Sus scrofa: one gene and its partners. The protein of the gene in region 1 purifies or fractionates together with the protein of each later gene. This does not show direct contact. Links are inferred from orthologs where the notes say so. Each region holds a gene or a part of one and is shown in the gene's direction. Other genes may lie near its edges.

The links.
Region 2: the proteins of CHD8 (region 1) and KPNA5 purify together in Homo sapiens (affinity purification with mass spectrometry; 3 studies listed by BioGRID and IntAct, with this or other methods). This does not show direct contact. The link is inferred for Sus scrofa from reciprocal best matches to the Homo sapiens genes CHD8 and KPNA5.
Region 3: the proteins of CHD8 (region 1) and KPNA6 purify together in Homo sapiens (affinity purification with mass spectrometry; 4 studies listed by BioGRID and IntAct, with this or other methods). This does not show direct contact. The link is inferred for Sus scrofa from reciprocal best matches to the Homo sapiens genes CHD8 and KPNA6.

Annotation. Positions count from the first base shown.
Region 1 is NC_010449.5:77,774,855-77,778,506, forward strand, and holds part of CHD8 (chromodomain-helicase-DNA-binding protein 8), read left to right. Parts: intron 1-1,030; coding exon 1,031-1,144; intron 1,145-1,176; exon of another isoform or gene 1,177-1,331; coding exon 1,332-1,511; coding exon of another isoform or gene 1,512-1,564; intron 1,565-1,907; coding exon 1,908-2,024; intron 2,025-3,652. Other genes in the region: uncharacterized protein LOC106504487, read right to left, coding at 1,475-1,564. UniProt on the Homo sapiens protein: ATP-dependent chromatin-remodeling factor, it slides nucleosomes along DNA; nucleosome sliding requires ATP. Acts as a transcription repressor by remodeling chromatin structure and recruiting histone H1 to target genes.
Region 2 is NC_010443.5:44,938,540-44,942,291, reverse strand, and holds the start of KPNA5 (importin subunit alpha-6), read left to right. Parts: upstream 1-1,072; 5' UTR 1,073-1,918; coding exon 1,919-1,922; intron 1,923-1,969; exon of another isoform or gene 1,970-2,378; intron 2,379-3,344; exon of another isoform or gene 3,345-3,618; coding exon of another isoform or gene 3,619-3,622; exon of another isoform or gene 3,623-3,651; intron 3,652-3,752. Other genes in the region: ZUFSP (zinc finger with UFM1-specific peptidase domain protein), read right to left, coding at 224-782. UniProt on the Homo sapiens protein: Functions in nuclear protein import as an adapter protein for nuclear receptor KPNB1. Binds specifically and directly to substrates containing either a simple or bipartite NLS motif.
Region 3 is NC_010448.4:88,645,516-88,649,167, forward strand, and holds part of KPNA6 (importin subunit alpha-7), read left to right. Parts: intron 1-29; coding exon 30-155; intron 156-467; coding exon 468-595; intron 596-2,518; coding exon 2,519-2,697; intron 2,698-3,652. UniProt on the Homo sapiens protein: Functions in nuclear protein import as an adapter protein for nuclear receptor KPNB1. Binds specifically and directly to substrates containing either a simple or bipartite NLS motif.

The DNA of each region.
Region 1 (3,652 bases):
TGAGTGCTTAGACATTGGAAAGTGAGGAAGGAGGCTGGAATTCTTACTGACTAGTTTTACGAATGTGATACTAAGTTTGTTTGGTCCCCTAACCTTAAAAATGAGAAGAGCTCACAAAGATCCATTTAGGAAAAGTCATTGTAGTAAAGGAAGGGATCTTATCTTGACTTATATCTTCTGAGGATTAGATTAAAAGAAACCATATTTTTAAAAGAAATTTAATTGACATAGGTTTCTTTTGAGTGGCTTGTTTCTAGATCCATGAAACCAGTGTTTCAAAATTGAAATCACATTGTAGAAAAGCTAGTAAAATGACACCCAAGTATTATGTGCCTTGTTAAGGCCATATGCTGCACCTGTGACTCTAAAAAGCAAAAAAAAAAAAAAAAAAAAGTCATTCTTCCTGGTGTTCTTCCCTAATGAACTCTATTAGCTGGTCATTAAGTACTCAACAAGAAATTTTTTTTTTTTTTTTTTTGTCTTTTTCTATGGCTGCCCCTGCAGCACGTGGAGATTCCCAGGCTAGGGGTCTAATCTGAGCTGTAGCTGCTGGCCTACACCAGAGCCACAGCAACATGGGATCTGAGCTGCATCTGCAACCTACACCACAGCTCAGGGCAACGCCGGATCCTTAACCCACTGAGCAAGGCCAGGGATCAAACCCGTCACCTCATGGTTCCTAGTCCGATTTGTTACCCACTGAGCCACGACAGGAACTCCAAGAAAAATTTTTGACATTAGTATGTGACAGGAATATCAAGATTCTGCCCTGTGATGAGTTGCCATGCTAATACTGAGACACCAGGTAGGGGATTTTTTTCCCCTGCATTGGGTGTTGTTGAAATAAATTCTACTCCTCTTAAATCTGCCTGAGGGGCACTAGATCAAGAAATGAAATAAATGTTTTTCTAAGGAAACAACATATAAATTTTGTTATATTTCTGATTTCTATCCATTAGTCAGATGCCCTCCCTTCTCACTGTCATTGAACTGCTATATGATGTCTTGGGTGGGTGGATTGTCTTCCTAGGAGGAAGGATTGAAGTTAACATTCCAGAAGCACAAGTTGATGGCTAATGGAGTAATGGGAGATGGACATCCTCTTTTTCATAAGAAGAAAGGGAACAGAAAGAAGCTAGTTGAGGTAAGTGGTAGAGAAAGTCTTTAACATGATGATTAGAGAAAATGTTTTTATTCCCAGTAATTGATGATGGCATTTGGGATTGAGGGAGCAGAAGGTAATGTTTTACGGCTACCATTGGCTCTGCTCCCCCTCTCTCCCTGCCCAAAAGAAGAGTATGTGCTCATGGGGGTGGATTCTGGGTTTGCAGCTGGAGGTGGAATGCATGGAAGAGCCTAATCACCTTGATGTGGACCTGGAGACCCGGATCCCTGTCATCAATAAGGTGGATGGTACTTTGCTGGTGGGTGAGGATGCCCCTCGCCGGGCTGAACTGGAGATGTGGTTACAGGGTCATCCAGAGTTCGCTGTCGATCCCCGATTTCTAGCGGTGAGTGGCAGTTCCATCCAGCAAGATTTAAAGTCATTCCCTTGGTACTGAAGCTGTGTGAGAGAGAGAAAGCATGCCACATTGTGTCATTGTTTCTGCATCGGCAAAATAAGAGTAATTTTACTTAGTCTTCCTACTTCACAGAGCTGTGAAGATCAAAATAATGTTAAAGTAATTGTTCAACTAAATGCTAGGCAAATATTTACTATTAAACTATTATATAATCACCTAAAAAAATTTTTTTTTTTCTTTTGAGAGGTCAGCTTAATGGTAGCTTTCCATTAGGACTAATCCTTTACACAATAAGCATTTACTATAATTAGACACTAGTACCTTAATAATTATTCCAGATAATATTTTTTTTTCTTTAGAATAACTTTAACTTTTCTATTCCAGTATATGGAGGATCGCAGAAAACAGAAATGGCAGAGATGTAAAAAAAATAATAAGGCAGAATTGAACTGTTTGGGAATGGAACCAGTACAGACAGCTAACTCTAGGAATGGGAAAAAGGTGAGTGAGACTGAGATATTACCACTCTGTTCCAACACTAAATATGACTAGAGAAATTAATAATCTTTTTTCTAATATATGTTTGAGAAAATTTATCTTCGGTTCAGAAATAGGGAAACCACAGTATTTTTACAGTCCTGTGGCATCATAATCTTTAGAAAAGCATATAATTCTAAAAGATTACTTTAGCACTTGAAGCATATTAAAAAGTAATTAGTAAGACATGTTAGAACATTCAGGGCCTTATCCTACTGTTTTACTGACTAAGCAATTTAGGGTAAGTTCTTTTTCAGCTTGCATATCCTGAAAAGTGAAGGTTTTGGAACAGATAATCTCATAAAAGTTTTATGCTTCTAATATTTTAGAAGTGATTTGGGGCCTATTAAAGAATATAATCATGGGGTTTCCCAGCATTAAAGAGGTTAAGGAGTTCCCACTGTGGCTTAGCAGTAACAAACCCAACTAGTATCCATGAGGAAGCAGGTTCGATCCCTGGCCTCCCTCAGTGGGTTAAGAATCCAGTGCTATGCTTTTATCATGGTTATAGATCTTCTGGTGGATTAAGAATTTATAATCCTTTCCATCAAAATATTAACTGCGAAAGTTTCTCTTGGCTCTGTTTGCCTTACTTTTGGCAAGAGTTACATTTTTTAAACATATAGAAATCATGGTTTGATTTGGTAAGCAGTCATTTAAAGTGGTTTATCTTTTGGGATTTCCTGTTGTGGCTCAGTGGTAATGAACCTGACTAGTATCCATGAGGATGTGGGTTCAATCCCTGGCCTCACTTAGTGCGTTAAGGATCTGGCATTGCTGTGAGCTGTGGTGTAGGTTGCAGACGTAGCTCAGATCTGGCATTGCTGTGGTTGTAGTACAGGCCGGCAGCTTCAGCTCTGATTCAACTCCCAGCCTGGAACTTCCATATGCTGTGGGTGCAGCCATAAAATGCAGAAATAAAAATAAAATGGTTTATCTTTTAGTAAAATTAATTTTCAAGTGAAAATATGTACCTTTGGATTTAACAAACTCTGAGGACATTATTTTGCACATTGTAAATATTTACCTGTGAGGTAAATTTATAAGGGTCATTTATTTTTATATTGGTGAGAGTGATTTCATATAGTAAATATTGTCACCATGGAAGAATGTTTTTATTTTCCCTCTGAGATTCCATGGGACCAAAGGTGTAATAAGCAGAATGGTTGATATGGGAGGCTGATGGCTAGAAGGCTGAGACCTCTCTGTCTTGAATTTTAACATTATAGAGCAGCCTGTAAAGAAGGCTTTTCCTCCAGGATCACCCATTTTTACTTCAAATACTTTTGCACTTCTTTATAGTCCGTTCACAACTCTAAGAAAAAAAAAAGATCATAGGAAATCACAGAAAATCATAATATGAATAGTATAGAATTCTTAATGCAGAATTGGTGGAATATATAGCACTACATTATTATTGCAGTAATTTGGTGCTATTATAGTTATATTTTAAAAGCCTATACAAATAGAGTACTGAGGTGTTTGTTTCTTCCAGGTCAGAAAGGTCAAGCTTAGATTGGGCAGGTCCAGAGACACAGGTACTAATCGTCTGAATTTAATGCCAGTTTACCCAATATTGTACTTAGCTCTAA
Region 2 (3,752 bases), on another chromosome or scaffold:
CTCAGAAAGATTCTAAAACTACTTTCAATATAGCTGAAACATTTTTAATTTGCATCAAAATTTCCATTACTATAGTTCCATATTCCAATAAAGGCAAATGAACAATGCTATGAACTGAAAATTAAAAATACATTTGCAGTCATCTGATGTATAAACCAACTTTTGGGACACCACCTATTAAGTTGAGACTACTGCTGCTTATTACATAAAACAAACACTTTACCTTCTAATGGAGTATCTAAAAGGTTGGTATGCTTTGTTTTCACATGAGTTTCCATATCTTGACTACAATCTTCTATTTTTCCACAGAATGGGCATTCAGGAGGACTATACATTGTTTCATAAATTGATCCTTTTATTTTGGTTAGGTCAGACTGTTTTTCCTTACTTTTCAGAAATTTTCTGGATTCAGTTACATTCTCTGAATGAAAGCCTTTATGTTTTAAAGATCCTTCCTTAGGCAGACTTTGAGCTAAAATTTTCGGATGATTAGACGCACAAGCTGAATGAATACTTGAATTAACTTCCATTCTACACTGCAGGGTGCTGTCCGTCCTGTTGTCAGAAGTTCCGTACTGTACTGAATTAATCCTCTCAATGTTTCTTTCTAGCTCATTTTGCTCAAAATGAGCAGTTTCAATATGAAAACACATTTCATCATAACTCACACCTGACAATTTGCAAAATGGACATATAACATCATCTTCCATATGAACAATTAGGTGAGCCTTCATGTCTGGTTCTGAGGTTACTGTTTCACCACAAATATCACAAGAGAGCATGGTAAAGCAGGAAACTGAAAAAGAATACAGTATTATTTTGTTAGAAATTAAGAGACGAAGAAAAAGAAAATACATTCTATAAAGTGATTTGGAGTAACTATATTGGTTACTGAAAACTGGGTTATTTAGATGAAATTACTGTTCCTTGAACACACGAATTTATATCTAAATTTCATCTAAAATTTCAAGTAAAACTTGTGTTTCAAGCTTATGGTTTTAATAAAACAAAGGCAATAATGATGCAAATTAGATAATTTTTCAAAACTTCAAAAGGTGTGTCTGGCCTGAGGTAAAGAAAAAATAACGTTTATAAAACTGCCTGGGTAAGACAAACCAAATAAGAAAACAAAGAAAGAGAAGGAACTTTATCAAATGATATATCTAAATACAAAACTTTAAAGCTATAAACAAGGAATTGAGTAAATAAATCTTAATAACAGCAGTTAAAAGGTAAAGAGCTTTACACATATCAAACTAATTTAAGTACCATTATTACCATTCTACAAGGAGAAAACCCTGGCTCAGGTACCTCACTGCCTCCAGAAAATGGTTAGCCAAAATGCTAACCCAGTCAGGCCCGCTGTATTCTCAACTCAAAGAATAAAATCAGTGTGAGCAGAGTAGATTCCAGAGCCAAGAGAACTGGATTATTATCTCACCTTTCGTAATTTTAGGTAAGATATCTCATCTCTTTGAGGTTCTGCCTATGAGTTATACTAAATCAGCAGTCATTTTGAGGTACTGGCTACCGACAAAAAAGGTGATTTCGCTAAGAAATAATTCTTAGGCAGCAGTTCCCGCTACAACCTTTCCACTACATTATCTTTCAGCTAAAAATTATTTTAAAACAAACGGGAAATAAAAACAAGTAAACTATCCCAATCATTTAAATAAATTTAACTGTGTAAGAACTCCCTACATTGTCCTTATTTTTCTAATTTCACTTCATACAAGTGAAAACAGTCTCGACTTTAGAAGGAAATTCTCTCAAACCCTCAGTGGAAAGAACGTCACACCCAGAAAGGTTCTTTTTTGTGGCTGGGGCACCGCTGGACAGAGAACACGCTTCAATTGCCCAACACTTAGCTCAGAACGAGGGGACGAGAGATGTACGGAGGCCAGAGAGAGGTGCTGGGATGGGTAAGTGGTGAGGAGGTGGGAAGGGCCGGAATGCCACAAAGCCGAACCTGCTCAAAGATCCGTGTCAATCTCCCGGGCCAGGGCCTGAAACCAGCCCAGATACTAAATGGGTCAAAGGGTGGGCCTATGGAACGAGGGCTGGGATGGTCAGTTCCTGGTGGCTCGGAGAGACGGCGGCAGCCACCCTGCCCTGTGCTTAGCTTCCTTTTCGGGTTCTGATGCTGAGGCCGTCTGGGTCCGGGGCAGAAAGGTGCGTGCGCGGCGTCGATTACTTCTCCAGGCCTGAAAGACTGAGGCAGCCCTCTACACCCAGAGACTCACGGATAGCCGAAAAGAGAAGCAGCGATTCCGAACAACTTCAACTCCCAGAAAAATATTCAAAAAAGCTCTTCCTCTCCTTCCCCGAGTGAATGTACTCCCAGGATGCACCGCTCCACGCTAATCTGGGGTTGTAGTGCATTCTGGGAGTCGTAGTCATTCTTGCATCTTCCTGGCAAGGTTGAGATCTTTGTGAATGAATTCCCAGGGCTGGTCCTAGGGCATTACACGAATCCACAATACCCACTATCTAGGGCCTGACTCTGTAACGTTTTATTACATTATCAATAAAGAGTTTGTAATGCTATGTGCCAAATTCCAAACTATGGAGGATGCCTAAGGTATGTTCTTGCTGCAAGACTACAAGCTAACACTATCTTGATCCCTGAATTTAAAAATAAGAAACAGCTCTTGAGATTTAAAAAATACAATAGCAGAATTAAAAAAAAAAATCAGTGGAAATCTGTAAAATAATCCAAAAAAATTTCTCAGAAAATAGAACAAAAGGGAGGTGGGGTGGGAGAGAAAAAGAGCAAGAGATGGTCAACAGGAGCTTCTTCAGAGAAAGAATCATGTGTTATATATCTAATACATGATGTGCCTAGCATTACACGTGGAAAACAATTTGTTTTCAATACTGTTTGTTCGACCCCAGGGTGTATTACAAGGCTTTACGTGTTAAAATAATTTAGAGTACATTATCTGGAGTTACTCATTACATATGTCACAGACTATGTTTTTGTCAAAAAATCCACAGATGTTATAGAATCCAAAAATTTAAACACATGGCTAACTGAAAAGCTTGAAACAAATGAGCAGAGCGCAGTGGTAGAACAAATGAAGCTGAGGAGGCTCTACAAATCTCCATGAGTTTAGGACTTCTATCCGTTGTGTACACCGTTTTACCTTTAATACTAAAACAATGCCTGGCATAGATTAGGCCCTCCATCAATACTGCATTGTAAAATGAACGAATGAATTATTCAATCAACGAACGAATGAATGAATGAAAGAGTGAGAGCGGGCACAGAGGACTGGGACAGTGGGACACTGCTGCCACAGCAACTCCGCGGGGTTAAAATTGCTGAGCACGCGCAGGCGCCGGCTCCTCCTTGGGTGGGTGGGGCTGGGGCGCGCTTCTCTCCGCCCCTCTGCTGGGCTGTGCAGCAGCCACCGCCGCGGCCGCCGCCGCCGCGTGCAAGGGTTTCTGGGAGACGACCCTTGGGGTCTCGGGTAAGGGGCGCAGGTGGCCGCCATCTTGAGTTGGGAGCCTGGTCTCTATACTCATCGCTAGGGGCGGAGTGGTGGACCCACTGATATCGCAGCAGACGCCGAAGCCGAGGACAGGGAAGTTGCGGCGCTGGATAGTGCCACATTAATGAGTAAGTGGGAGTGACACAGACCAGATTGGGTGAGTTTAGGCTTTGGGAGCTATTGGGTCTTGAAGCCACAGCCTTACTTATAGGGTTCAGGACCAGCCCACGCTGGGGTTTTCTCAATTTCCTGTGGCAG
Region 3 (3,652 bases), on another chromosome or scaffold:
GTTGTTGCCTGTGCTTTTGGGTGTTCTAGGTCATTCTTAACTGTTCAGCCCTCCCTTGCCTCCTCCATTTGCTGAGCAGCTCCAAGGAGTCAATCCGAAAGGAAGCTTGCTGGACCATTTCAAATATCACTGCTGGCAACAGGGCTCAGATACAGGTAGAACATGCAGGAGGGAAGTTGGGGGGCTGCTGGTAGAAAGGCCTGGGAACATGAAATATTGTGGGATATTTCCCTCCAGAAGAACGAATTTGTTTCTTTTTAGAAATTGGGGTCAGTGCATGCCATTGGTCAAAGAGTCTGTTCACATTCCTCTGTAGTCTCTTACCCGTATGAGAAGAACAAAGGAGAACTTTGAGGAAGGTTAAGATTTCTAAATCTTAGCTAATGTGTGATCTGGGTTTGCTTTATTCTTCTTGAAGTGACTTTCTCCCACTGTGCCCCACCCTCCACCCCCCAATTCTCTCTCAGGCTGTCATAGATGCAAATATCTTTCCCGTGTTGATTGAAATCCTTCAAAAAGCAGAGTTCCGTACAAGGAAAGAGGCAGCCTGGGCCATCACCAATGCCACATCAGGAGGAACCCCTGAGCAAATCAGGTATCCTATTCCTTTGCCATTGTCTTTTTTTTTTTTTTTTTTTTTTTTTTGTCTTTTGTCTTTTTGTTGTTGTTGTTGTTGCTATTTCTTGGGCCGCTCCCGCTGCATATGGAGGTTCCCAGGCTAGGGGTTGAATCAGAGCTGTAGCCACCGGCCTACGCCAGAGCCACAGCAACGCGGGATCCGAGCCTTGTCTGCAACCTACACCACAGCTCAGGGCAACGCCGGATCGTTAACCCACTGAGCAAGGGCAGGGACCGAACCCGCAACCTCATGGTTCCTAGTCGGATTCGTTAACCACTGCGCCACGACGGGAACTCCATGCCATTGTCTTGATATGCATACTCTGCCTCTTGGCTCATGGTTTACATATAACCTCTAAACTGCCTTTTCTGGGACAGGTCTGCCCCCACTCAGTAGGGTTTAACTGGTAAGCTCCTAGAGTGCGGCACTGGAATCTGAAATAGATTCCTGTAAACCATGTACCTCTTTTCCATCCTGGAAAATAGAAACTTATGATGCAGAGTTCCCACTGTGGCTCAGCAGGCTAATGATCCAGTGTTGCTGCAGCCGTGGCTCAGATTATATGCCACAGCTGTGGCTATAAAAAAAAATAGAAGAGTTCCGGTCGTGGCACAGCAGAAACGAATCCAACTAGGAACCATGAGGTCGCAGAATCGATTCCTGGCCTCGCTCAGTGGGTTCAGGGACCAGCGTTGCTGTGAGCTGTGGCGTAGGCTGGCAGCTGTAGCTCCGATTGGACCCCTAGCCTAGGAACATCCATATGCCATGGGTGTGGCCCTAAAAGGACAAAAGACACACACACACACATAAATAGAAACTTATGACACAGACATCCATCTCTTCTCTGCCTCTATCCTCCAGATAATTTAAATATATGTAATTCTCAATTATCCATATAAATGAGGGAGGTCCATGTTACAGTTCATTCAGAGCATCTTCTTTGAAAAATCATCTTTTGGGAGTGATACTTGGGAGAACAAATACAAAGCCATTTTGTGTGCGAATGCTCTGATTTTGACTTCCATTATCCGCTTGAGGAGCAATGGTGGGAATGGGAAATGCATTGCCTTCAGCTTGTAGTTCTGGAAGAGGAGTATATTCAGTATACGTAAAATCTCAGAAGTAAAGGGATAGCCATTGAGTTAAGTTTTGGAGGGGTTGTAGATGGCCTTTTGGACAGGAAAAAGCATGAGTAAAGGTACAAAAATCAGAAACCTGGAAACCTTTACATGTTTGACTGGAATGTCGTACTTTTGGAAGTGAATAAAGGGAGGCAGAGTTAGAAAAGGCCATTAGGAGCCAAATTGTTCTGTCATAAAAATTTATTTTTTATTTTATTTTATTTTTTTTTTGTCTTTTGTCTTTTGTCTTTTTAGGGCCGTACCTGTGGCATATGGAGGATCCCAGGCTAGGGATCAAATGGGAGCTGTGCTGCTGGCCTATGCCAGAGCCACAATAACGTGGGATCTGAGCCACGTCTGTGACCTATACCACAGCTCATGGTAATGCCAGATCCTTAATACACTGAGCGGGGCTGGGGATCAAACCCACGTCCTCATGGAAACTAGTCAGGTTCGTTAACCACTGAGCCACAACAGGAACTCCTGACTGAAAATTTTGAGGCAAGTGATGTGTTCAGAGTAGGTAATGTTGCAACAAGGAGACTAGGAGGCAGAATTAATGGCAGGTTTCTTTCTACATGGAAATAAACTAGGCCAGTAGCATTGGGAGAGTGAAGAGATTGAGATAAAGAGTGGATGGTTCTGAAGGCTCAGTTGGAATGGGTTGCGGAAAGTATTGATGTGCATGAGGAGACCCAGAGGCCCCATAGCATAGCACCTGCCTGGCACCTCCCTGGCCCTGTATTAATTTAGAATTTGCCTGGTCCCTGCCCCCCAGGTACCTGGTCTCCCTGGGCTGCATCAAACCCCTGTGTGACTTGCTGACTGTAATGGACTCAAAAATTGTACAAGTAGCCCTCAATGGCCTGGAGAACATCCTTCGGCTTGGAGAGCAAGAGGGCAAGCGCAGTGGCTCAGGGGTCAATCCCTACTGCGGCCTCATCGAGGAAGCCTATGGTATGTGCCCTCTCCCCAACCTCACCTCTGCCTCTAGCTCAGAACCTGGGGACTCTAAGCCTCTGACATATACATTCACGAGGGAGGGTGTGTGGGGTGGGAGGGCGTCAGCACTGAATGCGAGGTTTTAGCCCACCAGTTCTGTTTTCCTCTGAGGAGTAGGAGACCGGTTCTCTTGCTGATAGGCTCTGCCCCGTAAGTAGATTATGGTACAGATGGAAAAATAAAGCTCCAGAATTGATAATAGTATCAGGAGCTGGATAGAAGACATGTTTTCAACTGAGTTTCTAGCAAGTTCTTTTTTTTCCTTTTTTTTTTCCATTATGGTTTATTATATAATGGTTCCCTATGCTATACAGTGGGACTTCTTTGTTTAGCTATTTTGTATACAGTAGTTTGTATCTGATAATCCCAAACTCCTCTAATTATCCCTCCCTCACTTTCTCCTTTAATAACCATAAATTTGTTCTCATGTCTGTGACTCTGTTTCTATTTTGTGAATGACTTCATTTGTATCTATCTTTTAGATCCCACATATGATCTTTTGTCTTTTTCTGTCTTCACTTAGTGTAATAATCTCTAGGTTCATCCATGTTGCTGCAAATGGCATTATTTCATTCTTTTTTATGGCTGAGTATATTCTATTTTATGTATGTACCACATCTTCTTTATCCATTCATCTATTGATGAACGTTTAGGTTGCTTCCATGTCTTGGCTATTGTAAATAATGCTGCTGTGAACATTGGGGTGCATATTTCTTTTGGGTTGTTTTTTTTTTTCAGATATATGCCCAGGAGCAGGATTGCTGGATTGTATGCTAGCTCTGTTTTTTTGTTTTGTTTTGTTTTGTTTTTTTTTAGAGCCGCACCTGCAGCATATGGAAGTTCACAGGCTAGGAGTCAAATCAGCCACAAGCCTATGTGCCACAGCAACGTGGGATCCAAGCCACGGCTG